5 linked regions of the Cricetulus griseus genome follow. The protein of the gene in region 1 interacts with the protein of each later gene in a pairwise test. Links are inferred from orthologs where the notes say so. Each region holds a gene or a part of one and is shown on either strand. Other genes may lie near its edges. The genes, in order: Napb, Stx6, Stx5, Stx16 and Stx4.

Evidence for each region.
Region 2: the proteins of Napb (region 1) and Stx6 interact in binary tests that used the Homo sapiens proteins (3 or more experiments, as listed by UniProt). The two-hybrid records come from large-scale screens. The link is inferred for Cricetulus griseus from reciprocal best matches to the Homo sapiens genes NAPB and STX6.
Region 3: the proteins of Napb (region 1) and Stx5 interact in binary tests that used the Homo sapiens proteins (3 or more experiments, as listed by UniProt). The two-hybrid records come from large-scale screens. The link is inferred for Cricetulus griseus from reciprocal best matches to the Homo sapiens genes NAPB and STX5.
Region 4: the proteins of Napb (region 1) and Stx16 interact in binary tests that used the Homo sapiens proteins (3 or more experiments, as listed by UniProt). The two-hybrid records come from large-scale screens. The link is inferred for Cricetulus griseus from reciprocal best matches to the Homo sapiens genes NAPB and STX16.
Region 5: the proteins of Napb (region 1) and Stx4 interact in binary tests that used the Homo sapiens proteins (3 or more experiments, as listed by UniProt). The two-hybrid records come from large-scale screens. The link is inferred for Cricetulus griseus from reciprocal best matches to the Homo sapiens genes NAPB and STX4.

The regions. Positions count from the first base shown.
Region 1 is NC_048599.1:30,297,772-30,301,718, reverse strand, and holds the start of Napb (beta-soluble NSF attachment protein), read right to left. Parts: upstream 2,810-3,947; 5' UTR 2,800-2,809; coding exon of another isoform or gene 2,726-2,799; coding exon 2,628-2,725; intron 1-2,627. Other genes in the region: Cstl1 (cystatin-like 1), read left to right, coding at 2,724-2,799. UniProt on the Homo sapiens protein: Required for vesicular transport between the endoplasmic reticulum and the Golgi apparatus.
Region 2 is NC_048598.1:36,564,141-36,567,651, forward strand, and holds part of Stx6 (syntaxin-6), read right to left. Parts: intron 1,021-3,511; coding exon 895-1,020; intron 1-894. UniProt on the Homo sapiens protein: SNARE promoting movement of transport vesicles to target membranes. Targets endosomes to the trans-Golgi network, and may therefore function in retrograde trafficking.
Region 3 is NC_048596.1:51,355,571-51,359,554, forward strand, and holds the start of Stx5 (syntaxin-5), read right to left. Parts: upstream 2,809-3,984; 5' UTR 2,663-2,808; intron 2,496-2,662; exon of another isoform or gene 1,987-2,495; 5' UTR 1,965-1,986; coding exon 1,740-1,964; intron 1,397-1,739; coding exon 1,326-1,396; intron 1,165-1,325; coding exon 1,109-1,164; intron 891-1,108; coding exon 820-890; intron 1-819. Other genes in the region: testis-expressed protein 54-like, read right to left, coding at 3,075-3,286, 3,417-3,495; Wdr74 (WD repeat-containing protein 74), read right to left, coding at 3,692-3,868. UniProt on the Homo sapiens protein: Mediates endoplasmic reticulum to Golgi transport.
Region 4 is NC_048599.1:5,006,094-5,010,383, forward strand, and holds the start of Stx16 (syntaxin-16), read right to left. Parts: upstream 2,807-4,290; 5' UTR 2,517-2,806; coding exon 2,385-2,516; intron 754-2,384; exon of another isoform or gene 93-753; intron 1-92. UniProt on the Homo sapiens protein: SNARE involved in vesicular transport from the late endosomes to the trans-Golgi network.
Region 5 is NC_048596.1:72,932,671-72,936,914, reverse strand, and holds the start of Stx4 (syntaxin-4), read left to right. Parts: upstream 1-1,444; 5' UTR 1,445-1,575; coding exon 1,576-1,605; intron 1,606-1,766; coding exon 1,767-1,868; intron 1,869-1,924; exon of another isoform or gene 1,925-1,946; coding exon 1,947-2,046; intron 2,047-2,187; coding exon 2,188-2,262; intron 2,263-3,123; coding exon 3,124-3,194; intron 3,195-4,244. UniProt on the Homo sapiens protein: Plasma membrane t-SNARE that mediates docking of transport vesicles. Necessary for the translocation of SLC2A4 from intracellular vesicles to the plasma membrane.

The sequences.
Region 1 (3,947 bases):
CCATTCTTGTGACTATCCATGCATATTTCCATCTAAAGCAACAACAGAAAGTTGAGAGTTATGGAACAATACTGAGAACACAGTATTGCCACAAAAGCATTGTGCAGCATATAGAAGATGAACTCAGGCTAGGCTTTAATCTGCAGCTGGGAGATTAACAGTCAGTGACGTGAAACATCTGCAATAAGCTAGATGCCTTTTTAAATGTCTGCCACAGCCTCAAAACATCACCTGTCCATGTCATAAATAGGAACTCTGGTGATACATGGGTGAATTAAAACATGTGATTATTAATTCTCCATTAGCCTGAGGGTCTCACATGGGGATAGATGACACTACCATAAACGAAACATAAAACCGGAGGGAGGCAGGGCAGGGCAACAAGTAAAGTGATGACAGATGCATGTAATGTCACATCCACAGGACTCTAAACATCTAAAACTGATGCCAAACCATAGTCTTCCCATGATAACACAAAGAGAACTAGGTCTGGTTTGGAGTTTCAAATACTTACATACTTATAATAAATTTCATGAAGCTCTCTATACTTCTTCCCCTAAGCTTTCCAGGACCAAATGTTAAACCTACCAGTTCTCATGGTACAAAGGACACTTGACCTGGCTAAAACTCTTAAGGTATTTATTTATTAAAAGACAATCGACTAAGTTTTTGGCTCCAAAATCCTACAAAACTCAATCCATCTGCCCTTCCCCTTCCTTGAAAAGAGGAGCTGACAGCTTTGGTGAATATGTGGATAATCATCCGACAGCCAATTCCAACAGCCACAGGCCTAGGTATTTTAAAAATATAAACTCACCGATCACTAATCATGAGATACACGGTGGATTACAGAAGAAGAAACCGAGGCCCAAAGAAGCAAAGTTAACCTTTTCCAGGTTCCGAAGCCATGATAATAACTGACCTGCTGCTTCTACCTGAGTACGCTGTAGTAACTCCATGCAAACTGAGTGTGAATGATGGAAGATGAAGTCTTCCCTCTCGGCCTGTCACTGACAGGGCAGCAACAGTCAAAAATGCATTTCTTCAGAAATAGATTCCTCAAAATCCTTTTAGATGACTGCCTCAAGATTTGACCTACTTTCCTCCAAACAACGCACCTCTTGACCAAAAGAAATGTCCGTAACTGGCTCAAGGAAACATATCCTGACGTGAAATTCGTTGTGCATTCAAATCAATCGCCTCCCATGGTGAGGCACTCTGCCATTAAATTTCACACAGTGAATCTCATGTTTTGTGACTCACAGACAGGTATTAGCATTTGGCACCAAATACGAGCAATGCTCCTTGTGCCTTTTAAAGCGGAAACAGAGTATATGTTACAGTTTCAAGCCTCATATCATATGAGAAATTTAGGGCCCAGTAGTGATAAATGCCCTTAGAAGTCCTCAAGGATAGCCTCCTCCTCTGTATCCTGGCAGACCACGCACTGTATCAAAGTGACCCTAAGCATTTCCTGGAGATGGAAATATAACGGGGTTCAAATAAACTGTTACATAATAATGAATATTATAATCAGCAGTCAAATGAACGAAGTTAGAAAAAACAAGTCAAAGCTCACTGGGTGTGTTTTCAGAACTAAGTGTACAAATTGAATTTGTACAGAAATAAAACAGCGTCTCATAATGCCTCAGTTGAGTATGTGCCACTAGTCCTGCCCGATAATTAAAATCTGCTCTTGGTAAAGATCTTTCACTTTCAAATAGGAAAAAAAAAAAAAAATTGAGGCACACGCGTAATTTCTGCCGCTGTCATAAACAGCTGAATCATTCACATAATCAACAGCCCAGAATTCTTTCACAAGCTCTCAGTTCAGGTTCTGCTTTTTGAAAGATCAGAATGTAAAGCCTTCCCGACTACAGCATGTAAGAATTATACGAAATCACGGGATTCCCAAAAGATAATGACTTTAAACAGAGGCAATGAATTTTAGGGTCCATCAAACAAAAGGCCCGGGCTACGGATACAAATCACTCCAGCAAAGGAAAAACACACCATCCGAGAAAATGTTGGCAAGGTCCATGGGCCGGAGACATAGGGGCGCCGACCTCGCGCTCCCAGTGAGCCTCTAGTAGATGCCAGGCGACAAGCTGAATTCCAGGACCTCCTTGTCCTGGCTCCCCCAGGTGATATACGGCCCGGACCAGGGTAAATTAACGAAACCGGTCCTCCAGGAAGGTGACGAACCCGGAGGGACAGCCCGGCGCGGACCCTGTCACCCACATGAGACCACGGGCGACGCGAGGGGTGCCGGGGGGACACAGAAATCTCCGGGGGGCGCGTAGGCGTTCTGAGCTGTTAAAGGGTGCCTGGGGGTAGAGGGCTACGGGTTCTTCGGGCATATGTGTGTGGGTGCCCAAGGCCTGAGGATCCCAAGGTTCTGGGGCTTGCAGTGTGTGCAGACTAGAGTCCCTCAGACATGCCCTGGGGATGCGATGGACCCTAGGGGCTGCGGGACTCAAGGCCGTACGTGGGCCACCTGGATATGTTCTGAAGGCCGTTGGGAACCCAGGAACCCTAAGAGGTTGTGTGGGGCACTCTACGGTGACAGCTGGCTGGGCGGGGAACTGGGCACCAAGACCCCTAAGGGCAAGAACTCTGACGCTCACCCGAACAACCCTCGCAGGAAGGAGTGGGAGGCCTTCACTCGTTTCTCGGCCTCCGCCATCAGCTGGACCGCTTCTCGCTCCTTCCCTGCGTTGTCCATGTCGCCAGCCGCCGCCAAAGCCTCCGCCACCGACTTGCAATGCTCCCGGGACGACTTAACCCTCCCTCTAGCAGGTGCGGGCACGCAGGCGCGGTGCGTGGGGACTGTAGGGATCTGTAGTCCTAGACTCCACCATAGTGGCAGCTGTGTCAGAGGCCACAACTACAATTCCCAGAAAGCTGCTGGGCAGGGCCGGGCAGGAGCCTGTCTTGAGGACCCTGAGTTCCCCGGGCTCCGGGAGGAGGGAGAAGGGGCGTGGCCCTCTGGAGGGGTCTTGGGCCAAGGTGGACTTCAAGGTTTTAAGGAATGCAGAATCAGAAAATTACCGGCAGCTTCCAAGGGAGATAACCTAAAACACGCAGCGTCAGAAATCATTGACCATGACTGAGACGTAGCAATGGATAAACGGTTGACCAGGGCTTGTTAAAAAAAAAAAAAAAAAAAAAAAGCCGGGAACTCTCAGCCTACATGAAGGTACTGCAAAAGGTAATCTAATGCAGTTCAGTGCAATTTCGTCAACTCTGTGGTGCCCCACCTCCCAGCTCTCCCAGAAAAGGAGCAACAGCTGGCCTAAAGAGTTATTTTTAATTTCTGAGAGCAAGACGTTAAAAATGCATCATCTTCCCCAATATAAATTCAGAGTTGCTTTTAAGCGTCCCCAGACTGCAACTTTCTTTTGGTCCTCTTGTTTAGAAATGAGTTGCATATCTTCCATGTAGGCATAATCCACTCATTTTATTGACCGAATTCTATTAAATGGCTATGAGCCAATGAACTCCTTTATCCTTTACATAATGCTGGCCACAGTGGGTGGATCTTGACAAAATTCCTGTCTGCCAGGAAGATTTTTAATCTACTAAATATCCATCGATAGATGCAGTCCTGTGCCAATGTCTTCCAGGCCTGACCCAGAGGGAGCTGTTTTTTAATACAATGTCTAGACCATCTAGGCTTGGCAGTGCTGATGCAGACAGAGGTGGTGAGGCAAATGGGATCACTGCCAAATGAGAGTTTCTGATGATTTAAAACTCTTCATGAAAGCCTGTCTTCAGAGAACAAAGCAAGACAGTTCAAACTCCTTGAAACAATTACCAAAACTGATGTCACAGTGTGACAGGGCCCAACCACTGTAGGATGCTCTCAAGATAGAAGGGAATATCAGTTCTTGGTGCACAGTTTTACTTACCGCTCCTGTGGGCATTCTTCTCATTTTGGAAAACTG
Region 2 (3,511 bases), on another chromosome or scaffold:
ACATATATACATGAAAATGGTATTTATGAACCAAAATTTCAATGGACAGGTGATTCTCATATCCTGATACATAATTTAATTGTTAGCTTCCTTTTACTAGAATTGCTATCTATAAAAGCAAGAACACAAACTGGCATGGTGATCCAGGCCTAAGAGCTCAACACACATGAAGCTGAGGCAGAACAACCATGAGTTCAAGGCCAGCCTGGACTACACAGCATGATTCTGCCTCAATAAAACAATAAAAATAAATACACAAATAATAGATGTAACAACATGGAGACAAGTTCATTTTCTTTTTATACCTAACTTCCATCAAAGCAACTGATTTCATATATATATATATATATATATATATATATATATATATATATATCTCCAATTAACAACTTTCGATGGAAAAAACAAAACCTCAATGTTCCTGAAAGTATCTTTATTAAAATAAACAAAAACCTGAATGTACAAAGGGGAAGAGGAATTGTTTTTTTTTTAATCTTTGGCCTTATTTGGGAGTAGCATACATTTTTAAACTCTGCACCTGGAAGGCAGAAGCAAGCAAATCTCCGTGATGGAGGCCAGCCTGCCATCGAAGCTATACAGTGAGAACCCATCTCAAAACAGCAACTAAAACAAAACCTGCACAAACCCTTGGCCTTGTCAGTTTTGATGTCAGCTCTGCATTTCCTGAGATCTGATCAAGTCTAGTTCTTTGGGGTCCCATGCTCTCAAGACTTTAAACAGTTCATACAATCATTACGGCTGGACAACCAAGCATAGGACTCACTCAGGTCTAACCTACTACTCGTCATTAGGTAATAAGCCTGTGGCTAGCAAAGAGTCAGGGGAGGCACCCTGCCTGCTACCTCCTGTCCTTGACTGGTTGTTCTCAGGTACCTGCTGCTGTGCCTGCTGCTCCTCAATGAAATGGGAGTTGGCTAGCTGCAGCTCTCGATCAAGGCGCCCATATCGATCCGTCACTCCAGTATTCCAGTTCTGGCTGCTGCTGTCTCCTAGCAGTGCCTGTGTGAGTAGGGACAACCAGTTAGGACAAATACTCAGAAGCTATTGCTGAGCCACTTAAATGGTCCTCAAACCTGGACCAGGCTTTGATGTGGCAGTGCAGGCTTCTGCCTGGTGGAATGGTTTGAGCAACACCAGGAAGGGCTCTCTCTGTCTTCAAGACCTCCAGGATAAGCCTCACAGATGGCCTCTGCTCCAAAAGAGAGCAGCTAGGGGAAGATGAGAAGGAGCAGTGGGGAGCAGCGTTAGGGCAGGCTGGCTAAGGTCTAGCTAAGTGTCTGCCAAAGGCCCATGAGGTAAAGGCCACCTTGGCCTTTCACTAGCTTCTTTGAAGGGTCCAAGGTAGATGGGACAAGCTGACCAATAGCTTTTCCTAGCTATAGTTCCAAAAAAAGAACATGAAAAGGAGAGATAGATAAGAACAATGAAAACAAACAAACAAAAAAATCAACATAAACAAACCCAAGCAAACAAGAACAGACTTGAAGGAATATTCTACCTCACCAAAAGAAACTCAAACAAATCTGAACTTATTCAAGTTTAAGTTCCAGGTGGTAGCTATATATTTTTTAAGAATTATATTTTAACAATCAGAATTCTATGTTAGTGTGTGTCTGCATGTGGCTATGTGCATAAATGAAGGCACTGGAGCTGGGGTTACAGGTATCAAAGGCTGAATTCAAATCTCAGTTCTCTGAAGAACAGCAAGTGCTTGGAATGGCAGAGCAGTCTCTCCAGCCCCCAGAGGAATTTCTTTTATACAAAATTTCTTAAAATACTTTCAACAACCAGGCATGATGGCTCGGGTCTATAATCCCAGCACTCAGAAAGCTAGGGCGGGAAGACTGTTTTGAGTTTTAGGACAACCTGGGCTACATAGGTCATCCAGAGCTACATGCATGGAAAACCTTGTCTCAAAATAAACAAAACAAACCCCTACCCGAAATCAATAACCAGCATTTTTAAATGAAGAGATTTAATCTGAAACATGCTGCCAGGTATGGTAGCCCATGTATTTAGTCCCTACACTTGGGAAGCAAGAGACAGGTGGATCTCTGTGAGTTCAGGGCCAGCCTGGTCTATATAAGTGAGTTCTAGGACAATCAGGTCTATGTAGAGAGGCCCTGTCTCAAAAAAACAAAACTAAATTTGAAACATGTTAAAAATTACTCAAATATCTACATCAATTTAATTTATTTATTTGTTTTGAGACAAAGTTTCACTACATAATCCAGGCTGGTGCTGAGCTCACACTATGTGGACCTGACTGGCCTTGAAATTGTAGCCATCTTAGGGGCACAGGCAACCTCCTGGCTACATCAAAATTCAAACATAACCATGCCATTATCAGGAAGCCTGGAGTCCCGTAAAAAGACAGTAAGTTATTAAGAGTCTTTAGCAGATGCCTGGCTCACAGGAGGTGCCGGAGGAGCCGGTGGTGTGGGTCAATTGATAGGAGCAGGGGACCTGTGTGCGTGCGTGCGTGCGTGCGTGCGTGCGTGCGTGCGTGCGTGCGTGCGTGCGTGTGTGTGTGTATTAAGGAAAGCTGCCTAGAAACTAATGTTTGTCTAGATGTCTGCCGAAGGTCTGGCAGTAAAGCCTTGGGCCCTGGCTTGTGGCACCCCTGAGAGTAATGGAATCTTTAAAAAGTGTAGCTAATACCATAAAATCAGTGCATAGGGGAACCCTCATCAGAAAAGCTTCTTCTTTCAGTAGATGGTAATTAACAGAGACCCACAACTAAACAATGTACAGAGTCAAAGACTTTGGAGCACTCAGTCCTAACTGGGGTGTCTGCATCACACCCCTCCCCTCAAGGCTCAGGAATCTAGAGAAGAGGAGGTGGAAAGATAGTAAGAGCCAGAAATGGTGGGTGACTCCAAGGAGATAGCATTTTTCTAGACAAACAGGGCTGATGCACATATGAACTTACAGCAACTATGACAGCATGGACAAGCCCAGCACAGGTTCAAACAGGACAAAATCCCAGCATGGAGACGAGGAAGTGGGCTAGTTGCCCATATGCCCAGGAGTAGTTCACCAACACAAAATGGACTACATGCTGTTGGTTTTGCTTTTTTAAGAAAAAAAAAAAAAAAGAATATGAAATGGAGTAGGTAAGGAGGGGGAAAGCTAAGGAAAGTTGGGGTGTGATGATATTTTGTTTGTGCTCTAACAAAGCTTGTCTGGAGATCAGAGCACAGACTTAGCCATACAAGTTAGCCACAGATGCTAGGCACTGTTGGCACACACCTGTAATCCCAGTACTTGGCAGTCACATGCCTTTAATCCCAGCACTAGGAAGGTAGAGACAGGCAGGGATATGGCTGGGTGGACAGAGGAATATAAGGCAGGAGGAGACAGGAACTCCTAGCATTCAGTCTGAGGATTCCTAGAGGCAGGATCGCCCTTTCAATCTGAGGTAGAGGTAAAGACTAGTGGCTGGCTGCTCTGCTTCTCCGATCTTTCAGCAAACAATATGAACAAAATA
Region 3 (3,984 bases), on another chromosome or scaffold:
GGATCTCTAAGTTCAAGACTAACCTAGTCTATACAGCAAGTTCCAGAACAGCCAGGGATATACAGAGAAACCCTGACTTAAACAAAAATACCAGACTGGGCTATATATCTAGAGTCTTGAAACCAAAACAAAGAACCTGCTCCTGAGGTATCTGCAAATCTTTTGCCCTGCCCCTTTGTTTTTTCCTTCTCTTTTAGAAAAGTAGAAAGGATACAGGGAATGAAATCAAACAAACGTAAGGTAATTATAGAGAATAAACTTACAACTCTGGCTGTCCTGGAGCTCACTCTGTGGACCAGGCTGGCCTAGAACTCAGAGATCTGCCTGCCTTTGCCTCCAGAGTGCTGGGATTAAAGGTGTTCATCACTACTCTCAGCTGACCTTCCCCCTTTTCTAATCAACACCTCTGTAAATAAACTCCTCAGACTGGTAAGTCCTTCTATTTCCTCTATATAACCTCCGAATCCAGTTCAGATTTCATATCCTCTGTCAATCTTTCCCAGCATACTATTTCATTCATCTTTTTGTAAAATCTTTTCTATACTATCACTTACTCATTTTAAGCCTAGGCTCCTGATGCTGGGTAACTCTTAAGAAGAATGAACCCTTAAAGACAATAATCTTGCTTCTCATTTGTTCCATCAGCATACAGAACAGTACTTTACAAATGCTAGATGATCCTAAGTGTCTATGGACTCAGTGGAGGAGCAGGGTGTTTGGACATGGGTCTAGATACTTACCCTGGGGATTCATGGCGATGGAAAATGATGGAAGTAATCTAATTAGAATGCTGGGCTCTCCTGATGGCTAGCAGCTCACCTGTTTGATGATGTATGTTAGCTCCTCAATTTCTACTGCTTTATCATCAAAGAGGGACTTGCGCTTTGCCACTGCAGAGACAGATGAAGTGTTACAACAGGTGATGGTAATAACAAGGCTCAAAGGGCTAAGAATACAGTTCAGTGGTAGAGGCACTTGCTTTAATGCACAAAGTCCTAGTTTAAAATCCCCAGCACCATAGGAGAAAATAAAACAAAAACTGCACGATCCTCACTTCCTAGTACTATGTTTCACTGTCCCATCTAGGAAAGATCTACCAAACACTCACAGATTGTTAGCTTCTCCAGCTTGGCAAATGTATTGCTGAGATCTTTTCCAATGCGCCTGCAAATGATCATCAGTGAGAAGGCTGTGGTAAAGGGCAGGAAAGAGGCTAATTCCCATAAGCTCCAACACAACCAATCCCATTCAGCCTAACCAACACAGGCAAATTAACTTCCTAGACATTGTATTACCACCCCCCCCCAAAGACTCTCTTAACTCACTTGGCCATAAGGGTAAATTCACTGCGTTGTCTGGCAGCCCGTAGAGCTGGTTTATTTGTTTGGATTCCATTCTGAAAGGTAATGTCAAAAAGTGGATACTTTAGTTCTCTTCACTATTCATGCTCAGCTTTTCACTGCTCCCTCACATATCCACTAAACACTCCAGTGCTGTTGGCATCAGACAATCTAAATTTATCAGTGGTTTATAGCTAAGAAAAAAAAATTATATGTAGGTTTAAATCTTGACTCATCGTTCGTGGTATTTAATCTTTTCTTAATCCCTGCTGAAGACAATTCCTCCACTCCTATTGGTAAGATTCGCTAATCTTTGTTGTAAAGTAAATTTAGACAACTAGCAGACAAAACGTAAGCATTAATTAGGCTCACACCTGCCTTTCCACTCCAGGTCCTTACCTGACGGCTCTGCAGCGACTTACAGGCAGACAGGAACTCCTGGGTCCGATCCCGGCAGGACATGGTGTCGGGAGGGGAAGGGACCAGGGCCACCGGGGTGGGCAAAGGAGTGATGTCGCTGCTGCTACTGACAGCAGTTGCAGGGGACAGAACCTGTGTCTTTGAGAGACCCAGGTAGACACCCTGATCTGTGTTCTTAGATCCGTAGCGTTTCCGCGGGATCATCGAGTCGCATAACCTCGGACTGCTGTGGAGAGGAGAATGTCATTCTCCAGACAGCCTCGTTCCCCAAAGCTTTCCCCTCAACTAGCAAATCCTCAGGCCCTTTCCCGTATTTGACAGGCTTTCGAGCCCAAGGCCACCCGTAGATCTTGCAGCCCGGCCACGGCGAGAAGGGTCAGCTTCCTCCAGGCCCAAGGCGAAGCCTCCTCAGAATCTCCTTCCAACTTGGCTCTGACGGCCAAAGCACCGGCTGGGGCCCTAAAGTCGAGAAAACAGCCAAAGCCTGGTCCTGCGGCCCTGAGCCTCCAGCCAGACCTTTGCAGTTGGCCCAGATCTTAATCGTGCCCTCTGGTATACGTGACTTCCTTAACTCCCTCACGGAAAAACGGCAACCGACCTCCAAAGGTGGACACACTTCGGTGGGCGGAGGGGGGGAAAACCTCTTTAAGTGTTTATTTGAAACAGGAAGTCCCACCTCCATCAAAGTTCCGCCTGTTGGAAGACTGCAGCCACTGATTGGACAGGGCCGGCGTCTTTCTCAACAAGGCCTTTCCTGATTGGACAGCAAGGTATTCGCTTACGCGGAGCCGCCAGCAGGGCTTGCCCATGGCTCCCTTCTCCCCCCTCCCCCACCGTCAAGCCGCTGCCCCCGAGCTGAGACGACCGACAGAAACTGGCCCCCTACCCCAACGAAGCCCTACCTCCTCTGTTGCCTACCGCCGCCGCCACTGCCACTCTCTCCAGGCCGTCGCCGCCTCCTCGCTGGACTTGTAAGCCACCCAAATCGGAGCAAAGAGCAGGAGCCGCCACGTCACCCACACGTAACCCCACCCCCGTGACGTGATGCCGCGCCACGCCTATTTTTTTAAGCCCAGAGACAGGAAGAACACACCTCTGCCCTTGCATGCTCGACTCCGCTCTCCTATTGGTTAAACTGCCGCTGTGGCCCCGCCCCTGAAGAGCAGAAACAGATCCCAGAGGGCTGGGCCAGAGGAGTCTTAAAGAGCCAGCGCCTCGGCGCCTACAGATGTGGAGGCAGAGGCATGTTTTCGGCAGATCCACAATATTAATTTTATTCTCTGGATGTTGGGGAGGACGAGAGCAGGATTGGAGTCAGCCCTTTTCTGGTTCCTTGTGGCTTCCCTCACGTTTGCGCTCCTGGATCTGACTCTCCTGCTTTTGAGTCAGGTCTGAGAGCCTCTTGCTTGACCGTGAGGACCCCCGACGGCTGAACATGGATAGCCTGCGCCACAGCACGGTGATCAGAAGACTTTCGTTAGATCTTTGTTTGCGGCGGCCTGCGTTGTCCAAATTGACTTCGTTGTCTGCAAGGGCCACGAGGCCACTTAGTTCAGTTCTCCTCTCTAGTCCAGTCTCTTTAGGCCGTCCATTCTGGGCACCTCCCACTCCCATTCCCAATCCAGCTCCCTGACCCTTTTTTGAATCTGGGCCTACCTTGCCTACCTTCGTCGGTCACTTCCTCCCTTGCATGCTCATCAGAGGTCTGATGGTCCTTGTCTTGACAGCAGCCCATGGCCCCGAGAGGCGCAGGACTCTGCCACCCTCCCCAGCCTGCTTAGCTCTGGACCCAGCTTTTGTGACGTCAGGTCTCCCACAGCCCGGGTGAGGGAACCCCTCCCACCCACAAGCCACCTCTCCTTTCTCCCATCACAAAAGGTTCAGGGTCTCTGTGTGTGTTGGGCTGTTTATTAACAAAATAGCAAAAGTCTTCAAGGACTGGAGGATCCAGGCCGCTTCTTTTTTTTTCTTGTTTGGAGAGTCCCTTGTATCTGATTTAAATCAGGGAGCTTCCGCTTGGCATTTGCCTCCAAAGATGCCCAAAGTTCATCTGTCTCTGTGTCTTCTGGGGGTACCATGTTGGGCTCTTGAGGTTCTTGGGGCTCATCCTGATGAGTGAGAAAGAAACTCAGGAATCAGGGACAAGGAAAGAGATTGGCAGAAAAATAATTTCTCTGGACACCACTACTTTGACCTAGAAACCAGTGCAGTTGTGTTCTGGAGT
Region 4 (4,290 bases), about 25 Mb from region 1:
AGTGCTAGGCTATTTTTCCCCCTCTCCATGAGGTTGCATAAAATTAAGACATAAAGAACAGGAGACTCTTATTAACATAACGGAAGACTCACCAGCTGTATTCATTCCGCTGCCACTCACTATGTCTCTGTTTATTTCTGGAGACCCTTTCTTTTCAAAAGCCATGTTAGAATGAACCCATCTCCATGCTGAGATTTTTTTTTTTTATTTCTATGTAATATTATGTCTTTCAGTTTACAAGTAAAAACCCTTCAATATAAATGTAAACAAAAGCCCCTGCCCCCTTGGGGGGCAATTTCCTATGCCTTGTGACCAAGTTCATACACCTAACCCCCCCAAAACGGCGCCCGCGGCGCACACGGCTTCAAATACCTTTTCTGTGAATAATATGGCCAAGCATAATTTCCACGGTGACTTAAAAATTTTTTCATGGTGACTTAAAAAGGGGACAATTGTCTTGGCAACACATTGACAATCACGACACAGAGCTTAATTTTTCATTATCACTTTGATAAACGATAAAAGAAAAAAATTAAAAGGCAATCCAGCATCTAAAAGGTGGGAAAGGCGCAGGGTTTCACACATTGCATTTCAAATACAACTTCCTAAGGGCTTGGGGTGACTGTGCATTCCCCTATGCTCCGACTCAAACCTCCCTTTTCAATTAAGGTTATTATAAATACTCATCTGACGCCCATTCACATCCAACCTCTATTTGACAGGGAGGTAGACTGAGGCTCAGGAAGTCAAAGCCTGCATCAAAAACAAACCAAATACAGCAATCTTTCTGGAACACTGCTTTGAAAAAGAACAACAACAACAAACCCCACTACTGCTGGAGCAAGTGAAGCTCCGGTCAATAAAATCAAAAGCTGGGTGCTATTTTGGGGGGTTAATTTTCACATCACATCATGTTTTTAAAAAAGTTCGAATGGAGGGGAAGCTTAATTTCCTGTGTGGGAAATGGAAGGGCCGAGCACCTTGCAGTCTCACCAGCACGAGCCCAGGAAAAACAGCAGCACAATTATTCCTGGGGGGGGCGTGGCTACACAGAGGACTGGGGCCATTTGAAGAAAAATTGTGAGAAGAGAAAATGAGTACACACCCCCTCCACAACACCCCCCCACAACACACACACACACACACAATACACAACCACACCCACACAACACACCCCCACAACACCCCATTCCCACAACACACACCCCCAACACACAAATCCCCATCCCCACACCCCCCAACACACACACACACCCCAACACACACATCCCCATCCCCAACACCCCCCCAACACACACCCCATCCCCAACACACCCCCCCAACACACACCCCCAACACACACATCCCCATCCCCAACACACCCCCCAACACACACATCCCCACACACACACACCCCCAACACACACATCCCCATCCCCAACACCCCCCAACACACACATCCCATCCCCAACACACCCCCCAACACACACATCCCCCAACACACACATCCCCATCCCCAACACACACCCCCAACACACACATCCCCCAACACACACCCCAACACACACACATCCCAACACACACATCCCCATCCCCAACACCCCCCCAACACACACATCCCCATCCCCAACACACCCCCCAACACACACACCCCATCCCCAACACCCCCCCAACACACACATCCCCATCCCCAAACACCCCCAACACCCACCCCCAACACCCCCCAACACCCACACCCCCAACACACACACCCAACACCCCCACCCCCACCCCCACAACACCCCCATTCCCACAACACACACACACACACACACACACACACACACACCACAACACACCCCCAATACACACACACACACACACACCACAACACACCCCTAATACACACACACACACACACAACACAACTCCCTCCTGGGTGGGGGTGGGGGGAGAGTTCCCTTTGCAAGGGTTTGAGTCAGCTAACCAACCACCTGACCCAAAGAACCAAAGTGAAGCCATTGCAGGAGGTGTGTGTAGGGGGGGAGAACTCCAAACAAAACAAAACAAAACAAAAAGAAGGTTGGAGAAAGGCCTAGATTCCAAGTCCTCGTGGTTAAAACACATGTAAACTGAAGCTGCCTGTCGTGCTGTGACACTGAGGACTGAGAGGCCATGGAGTGAGTGAGTAAGGCAGAGCAGGGCTTGATACTGTGGTCCCCTTTGGGGGTCGTAGGTGCCCCATGACCCCTGACCAGGGAGCCCTTCCACTTAAGTATCACTCCTAATCGTCGTCGTTTTGTTCTTTTTCTTCCTTTTTTTTTTTTTTCTCTCTCTCTTTTTAGACAGACAGACAGAGACAGACAGACAGGCAGAGCCGCAGTGCACACGGTGTGTGTGTCTGGAGAGGCCGCCGGGAGACTCACCGCAGCAATGCTACGTGAATGCAGAGGGCTGGAGGTGGTGTGACTACTCACTTGCTCGGCTAACAGCTGCCGGTTTTGGATGGAATTATTCCGCAACAACAAGAAAGCGTCGGTTAAACGCCTGGTGGCCATGTCTCACCTCTGTGACCCCCCCTCTCAGGGTCCCCCACCCCCTTATAGTCTTGATTTTTTTCTTTCTTTTTTTTTATTTTCTTTCTCTCACGCTAGCCTGGCTGGTCCACCCTTTCTTAGAAACCTCTCTTGACAAGGCCTCAGGCCACAAAAAAAAAAAAAAAAAAGGTGCAATTTTGCGCTCCGCCAAAGCGCAGAGACCCCTCCCCAAATAACCACCTAGGCTTTCCAATTGTCTGGCTCCCCCTACCCCAGCCCTGGCTCGGATCTCTAAGCACTAGAATCCCCCCAATCCTAGCATAGAAACCGAACGTCCTGGAGACCCCTCCCCAATCCAGCGGCGGATCTGCAAGCGTCTAACCCACCAATCAGGAGGGAGCGTGCACAAGACCCCTGCCCACTCGCTTCCTGAGACTGCCCCTGACGTCTGGGCCTCGAAACACACTCGCTTAGCGCCTGCGTGTCTGGCATGTGGCTCTAACTCCGAATTTTGGTCAACTCTCCTCACAAAAGGCCTGCTCCAGCCACGAGCAGGCCTGAGCCCAGGACTCCAAGCGAGCGTCTGCAGCTCCCTCCGAGTCCTCAGAGCCTCCCAGGGCTCAGGGCGACCCGACCCCTGCTTCCCCGGAGGCCCGCAGGCTGCAGGCCTCCCTCCACCAGGACCTCACGGCCTGCACCCCGGCCTCCTCACTCCTCCTGGCCGGCACCCTCCATCCCGGGATATGGCTGCAACCCTGCCCCAGGGCCGCTTCCGCGTGTGGTCCCGGGCTCAGCGTTCCCCAGCCCTCTTCCTGTCCGTTCCTCGCGGGTGCCCCCCTGCGATGTTCATGAGGATTGTTTGTAACGTTCCGGGAGAGGGATCTCCCTTGTTGCCCTGCCCCAGGGGTGGGAGCGCCCCGCCCTCTCTGGGGTATTTCCCGGGGTGCCCTGTTTCCCTCTTCCTAAGTGTGTGCAGACTCTGGGACAGGCATCCTGGCCCAAAGAAAACTTCAAAAACTTGGCCCTGGAGCCGAAAATCACTGCTGGGGTCCAGACAACTGTAAACTTCTAGTAGAACTGCCAAGCAAACAAGAGTGTGGCTCTAGCAGAGCCTAGTCCTGCGCGGGGGCGGAGGAAAAGGCAGGAGACAGTGCCTCTGCAGGCCGGGCACGCTCCACTGCAGGCTGCTGGCGCTGCTGAGATGGCTGTGCCTTTTTCTTTTCTTTTTTTTTTAAAGCTGAAAAAAAAAAAAAAAGAGAGAGAGAGAGAAAAGAAAAGTATCCAAAAAACAACCAGGCGAGAAAAAGGAACAGGGAGGAAAAAAAAAATCTTGAGTTCCACGCCTTGCTGAGGACAGTCAGGGGGACGTCGACCCCCACCCTTAGGTGCCACACTCCGTAGGGGACACTGCATCGTTGTGCTTGCCAGGGAGGTTTCTGCTAACTGGGAGACCCTCCCTCACTCTCACTCCCCCCAAAAGAGCTTTGTGTTGCTGCTATGCCTGCCTTGCATCGAGCTGGGCCTTCGGGTCGCCTGCCAGTCCGTGGAACCATGCATCTGGCTCACTGCTACTCTGTCTTGGCTTAGGGGGACTCGCCGAGGGGCCCCCTAGGGCTGCTCCAGCCGCATCCCTGGAGCAGAGCGACCCACCGGCAAGCCCGGGTGACAGATCTGCATCTGCAGCGCGGATTCCTGGGGTGCAGCCTTGACCCCAGCTTTGGGGCTGGCTGCATTGGGAACACCTTGGTCACACTTGGGGTTCGGGCGAGGCCAGGCATTGGAGCCCCGGATGCCT
Region 5 (4,244 bases), on another chromosome or scaffold:
TTTTGGGGGGTTCCCCAGGGGCATGGACAAACTGAAGACTTCCATTTGGGGGCTGACAGCATCATGACACCTTGAAAGTCAGGCCCCACAGTAGGCACTTTTCTCCACATTATTTTCAGGGGACCACACTAGGCAGAGCTGGGCCTCCTGAGAAGCCCACCAACACCGCATCCCTCTGCGGGGTGGTCAGGGCCATATTATCCTCACCCCCTCATTTCCAAATCCAGGAGTTTCTAAAGGGAAAAGCATCACAGCCCCACAAGTGCATGGGGTTTTAGTCTGTTGGCTTCTGATGTGTCACCAGCCCCTAAAACATATCTGCTCTATAGTATGTGCCCAATAAATATGTCCAGAGAGACAAACCTGGGGAAATGGGACGGTGAGAGAAGCCACAGGCTTTAGTTTCAGATACATGAAAGGCTCCTATTCGGATCAAGGCTGTGAGGGCCTATTATGTAGCAAGCTCTGAATTTGGTGCTGGGGACTCCGTAAAAGAAAAGCAAGTCATGCTAGGACTTCAGGGCTGCGGAGGTAACAATACATTCCTCTCAGTCTGAGCTGCTCTGAAATCTGAAGGTGGCGAGCTCAGCGGGACTGCAGTGCTCACACAGGGCGTAGGCCGCCCACCTGTCAGAGGCTGTGCCAGGAGGACGCAGGGTGTGTAGGGGGAAGAGTTCCACCTTGGCTGAGGTCACTTCCCACCCCCAGATTGTCTGCCTACAAAACCCTGCAATCCTCTGACGCTGTAGCCTCCGATCTCATTATGTTCTGACTCTCAAGGTCTCGTGATACTGACAGCCCCCAAATTTAAGTCTTCAGATCGCCCACGCCCTAGGGCCCCAAATTAAAACAGAAAGTGAAGTCTACAAGGGTCTCCTCTGTAGGTGGCTGAGAGCTGTCGGTGTACCCCTCCCCACCTTCTGCAAGGGGTACAGCTCAGACTCAGGGGTATCGGGGACGTCGCGAGACTGAAGTCCGAGACGTCGCTGACAGCGCCGGGACACGTGACCGGCTGTCGGGCGTGCAGCCGGCGGAGCGGGGCCAGGTCTGTCACGTGATGAGGGGGCGCCATGGGGTGATGTGAGATACGAGGCTCTCAGACTGCGTGCAAATGACGCATCCCCAACCCTTTGGGCAACTAGATTCCAGTCCCAATATGAGATGTTCCGGTAGAAAGGGGGGGGGGGCGGACGGGCTCTCGATCCAGGCGGCCTCGCTTCCGTTCGGCCGCGACTGCTTCCGACCTCCGCCTTTTCCCCCTAGCGAGGAAGAGACAAGACCTCGTGCGCATGCTCCGAGTCATCCTCCCGAGGGGCGGGGCTGCGGCTGCGGGAGCAGGATGGGGGGAAGAGAAGGGAATTCCAACCTGTAGAACTTTGGGGGTCCTATGGTCGGGTTCTCCCCGGCGACTGTGCATGGTGAAAGGGGCGGGACCTCTGGGGGCTCGTGGGGGCGTTGGGGGTTCGCAGGGTGAGGAAGGGGGTGTCAAGTGAGAGAGAGCTCGTGCAGGACTTCCAAACTTAGAACCTTGAGGCCCTCGGGGCTCAGGTCCAGGGACCGGGCGCTCGGGCCGCCATGCGCGACAGGACCCATGAGCTGAGGCAGGTGAGGAGCTGGGGCCCGGCGGGCGCGCAGGACTGAGGACTCCTGGTTTGGGGTCCGGGAGGGGTGGCTGACGGCCAGGAAGGAAAATCCCGGAAGCCCATAGCTCCTGCGGGGCGAGAACCGCGGCGAGCGAGTGGTGCCAATGACTCCGGCCCTGGCAGGGGGACAACAGCTCGGACGACGAAGATGAGGCTCGAGTCGCGCTGGTGGTGCACCCAGGTACCGCCCGGCTGGGCAGCCCAGATGACGAGTTCTTCCAGAAGGTAAGGCCCGGAGGACCGAGCAGTAGGGAGGACTACAGTACCACTTATGTCTTCAGTTCCCTTGGTGATCCTCTCTAGGTCCAGGCAATTCGGCAAACTATGGCCAAACTGGAGAGTAAAGTCCGGGAGTTGGAGAAACAGCAGGTCACCATTCTGGCCACGCCCCTTCCCGAGGAGAGTAAGCGAAACCCGGGTTCACGTACGCCAGCCCGGTGGATTATGGGGGATGTAGTCCTATATAGATGTTGGCCGGGGGTGGGGTTGGTTTTGGTTTGTGGTGGAGGCTGTGGTTTGGAAGTGTTGGCCTTCTCTCATTTAGGCATGAAGCAGGGCCTGCAGAACCTGCGCGAGGAGATCAAACAGCTGGGGAGAGAGGTCCGGGCACAGCTAAAAGGTGAATGAACTTCAAGGGCCTCAGCCAGATCATCCCCAGTGATTCAGCCCTGATGCTCGTGTATCTGGGGAGTCAAGTGATATATCAGGTCACAGAGCAGGTCTGGGTCTAGGATCTCTGCCCTGTGGCATCTAAGCCTTGGTACTTTGCATATATTACATGCTGGCCTCTCAGATTCCTTTATTACTATTTTTACATCTAAATTCAAAACTACTTGCTGCTACAGTTCTTGAAGCCCAGTGTGTGTTCTTTGAGCAGATGGATGAGGGTTTCTTAGGAGGCTCCTTCACTCTTGTGGGAACCCACTGATGTAATACAAAGAAAAACTTCTCTTAGAAGATCAGAATTAGCCTCCTCCTCCCCCTCCCTCACCTCTTCCTCCTATGTAGACCAGGCTGGCCTCAAATTCACAGAGATCCATCTTTCCCTGCCTTTTGAATGCTGAGATTAAAGGCCTGCCGTAACCAGGTCCAGTTGGCTGATCTCACCCCCTTCTTCCTTCTTTCTTCTTCCTCCTAGTTCCTTCTTTTTTCCTCCTCCTCCCCCTTCCTCCTCCATCATGTGTCACTACTAAAATATATCCCTGCTCATAAGTCACTTTGTAAAAAAAAATCCTACGAAGACAAGAACTTCCTTATTATGTGGCTGGAATGTAGATGTGGCCCTGTATTCTGGTACCCAAACAATTTTTTTTGATTCATTTAAAATTTTTTATTATGTATTTTCAATTTTTTAATTATTTTTTGAGACTCAGTAGGTAGATCAGGCTAGCCCAGACAGAAATCAGTTAGCCTCCCAGCCAATTTTTAGAAGTCTCAGGGCAAGCTTTTCTTTCCATCAACCCTCGTATTTCTCCCACAGCCATAGAGCCTCAGAAGGAAGAAGCTGATGAGAATTATAACTCAGTCAACACAAGAATGAAAAAAACCCAGGTTGGTTTCATTTTCCTAGAACTAGGACATTTCATCAAGTGTTTCTTAGATTACTAACTGGTGACTGGGCAACCCTTACAGACCGTTGAATCTGGGATCTCTGTCCTGATGAATTTCCTTTATGCTTATTTGGTCTAGGTAGAGGATCCCAGTCACAAAATTCTCAATCCATTATAACACCATGCCACCGCCATTCAAAGAGAATTTGCTATGTCAGACATGACTCTGTCCTGGCTATGAGAGACATATTTTCCCAAAACTGAAATGGGGAATTTGGACTGAAAAGGGAACAAAGATATTTCTCATGTAGGACTTGGTCACTAATAGCTTTGTTCAGGGAAGAAGAGAGAGAAATAAAAAATGGTAATTAAGAGCACTGGTTGCTCTTCCAGAGGCCCCAGATTTAATTTCCAGCACCCACATGGCAGCTCACAACCATCTGTAACTCCAGTTCCAGGGGATCTAACACTCTCACATAGACATACATGTAGGTAAAACACCAATGCACATAAATCAAAGAATAATAATAAGAGCCAAGTGTGAAGGCAGAGGCAGGCGGATCTCTGAGTTCGAGGCCAGCCTGATCTACAGAGAAACCCTGTCTTGAATAACCAAAAATAAATAAATAAATGATAAATAAATGTAAGTTAAAATGACAAGCAAGGACATCCTTGGCCCCATAGATAGAATTTAAGAGATGGCGAGGGGCTGCAAGACGGATCAGTGGGTAAAGGTGTCTGCTTCTAAGCTTTATAACCCAATTCAGCCCCAGGTCCATGGGGTGCAGAGAACTGACTCCTGGGAGTTGTCCTCTGATTTCTACACATGTGCCATGGCACACATGCCCTGCCCCGTGCATACACAGTAAAGACATATATTAACGTATGATGTAGGGACTGGAGAGATGGCTTAGCACACACCACTTTTGCAGAGGAACTGAATTCAGCTGTTCCCAGCTGTGACCTATGTCAGGTGGCTCACAACCATCTGTAACTCCAGCTCTAGGAAGAGGCCCTCCACCTCCTTGGATACCACAGATGAAGGCACATA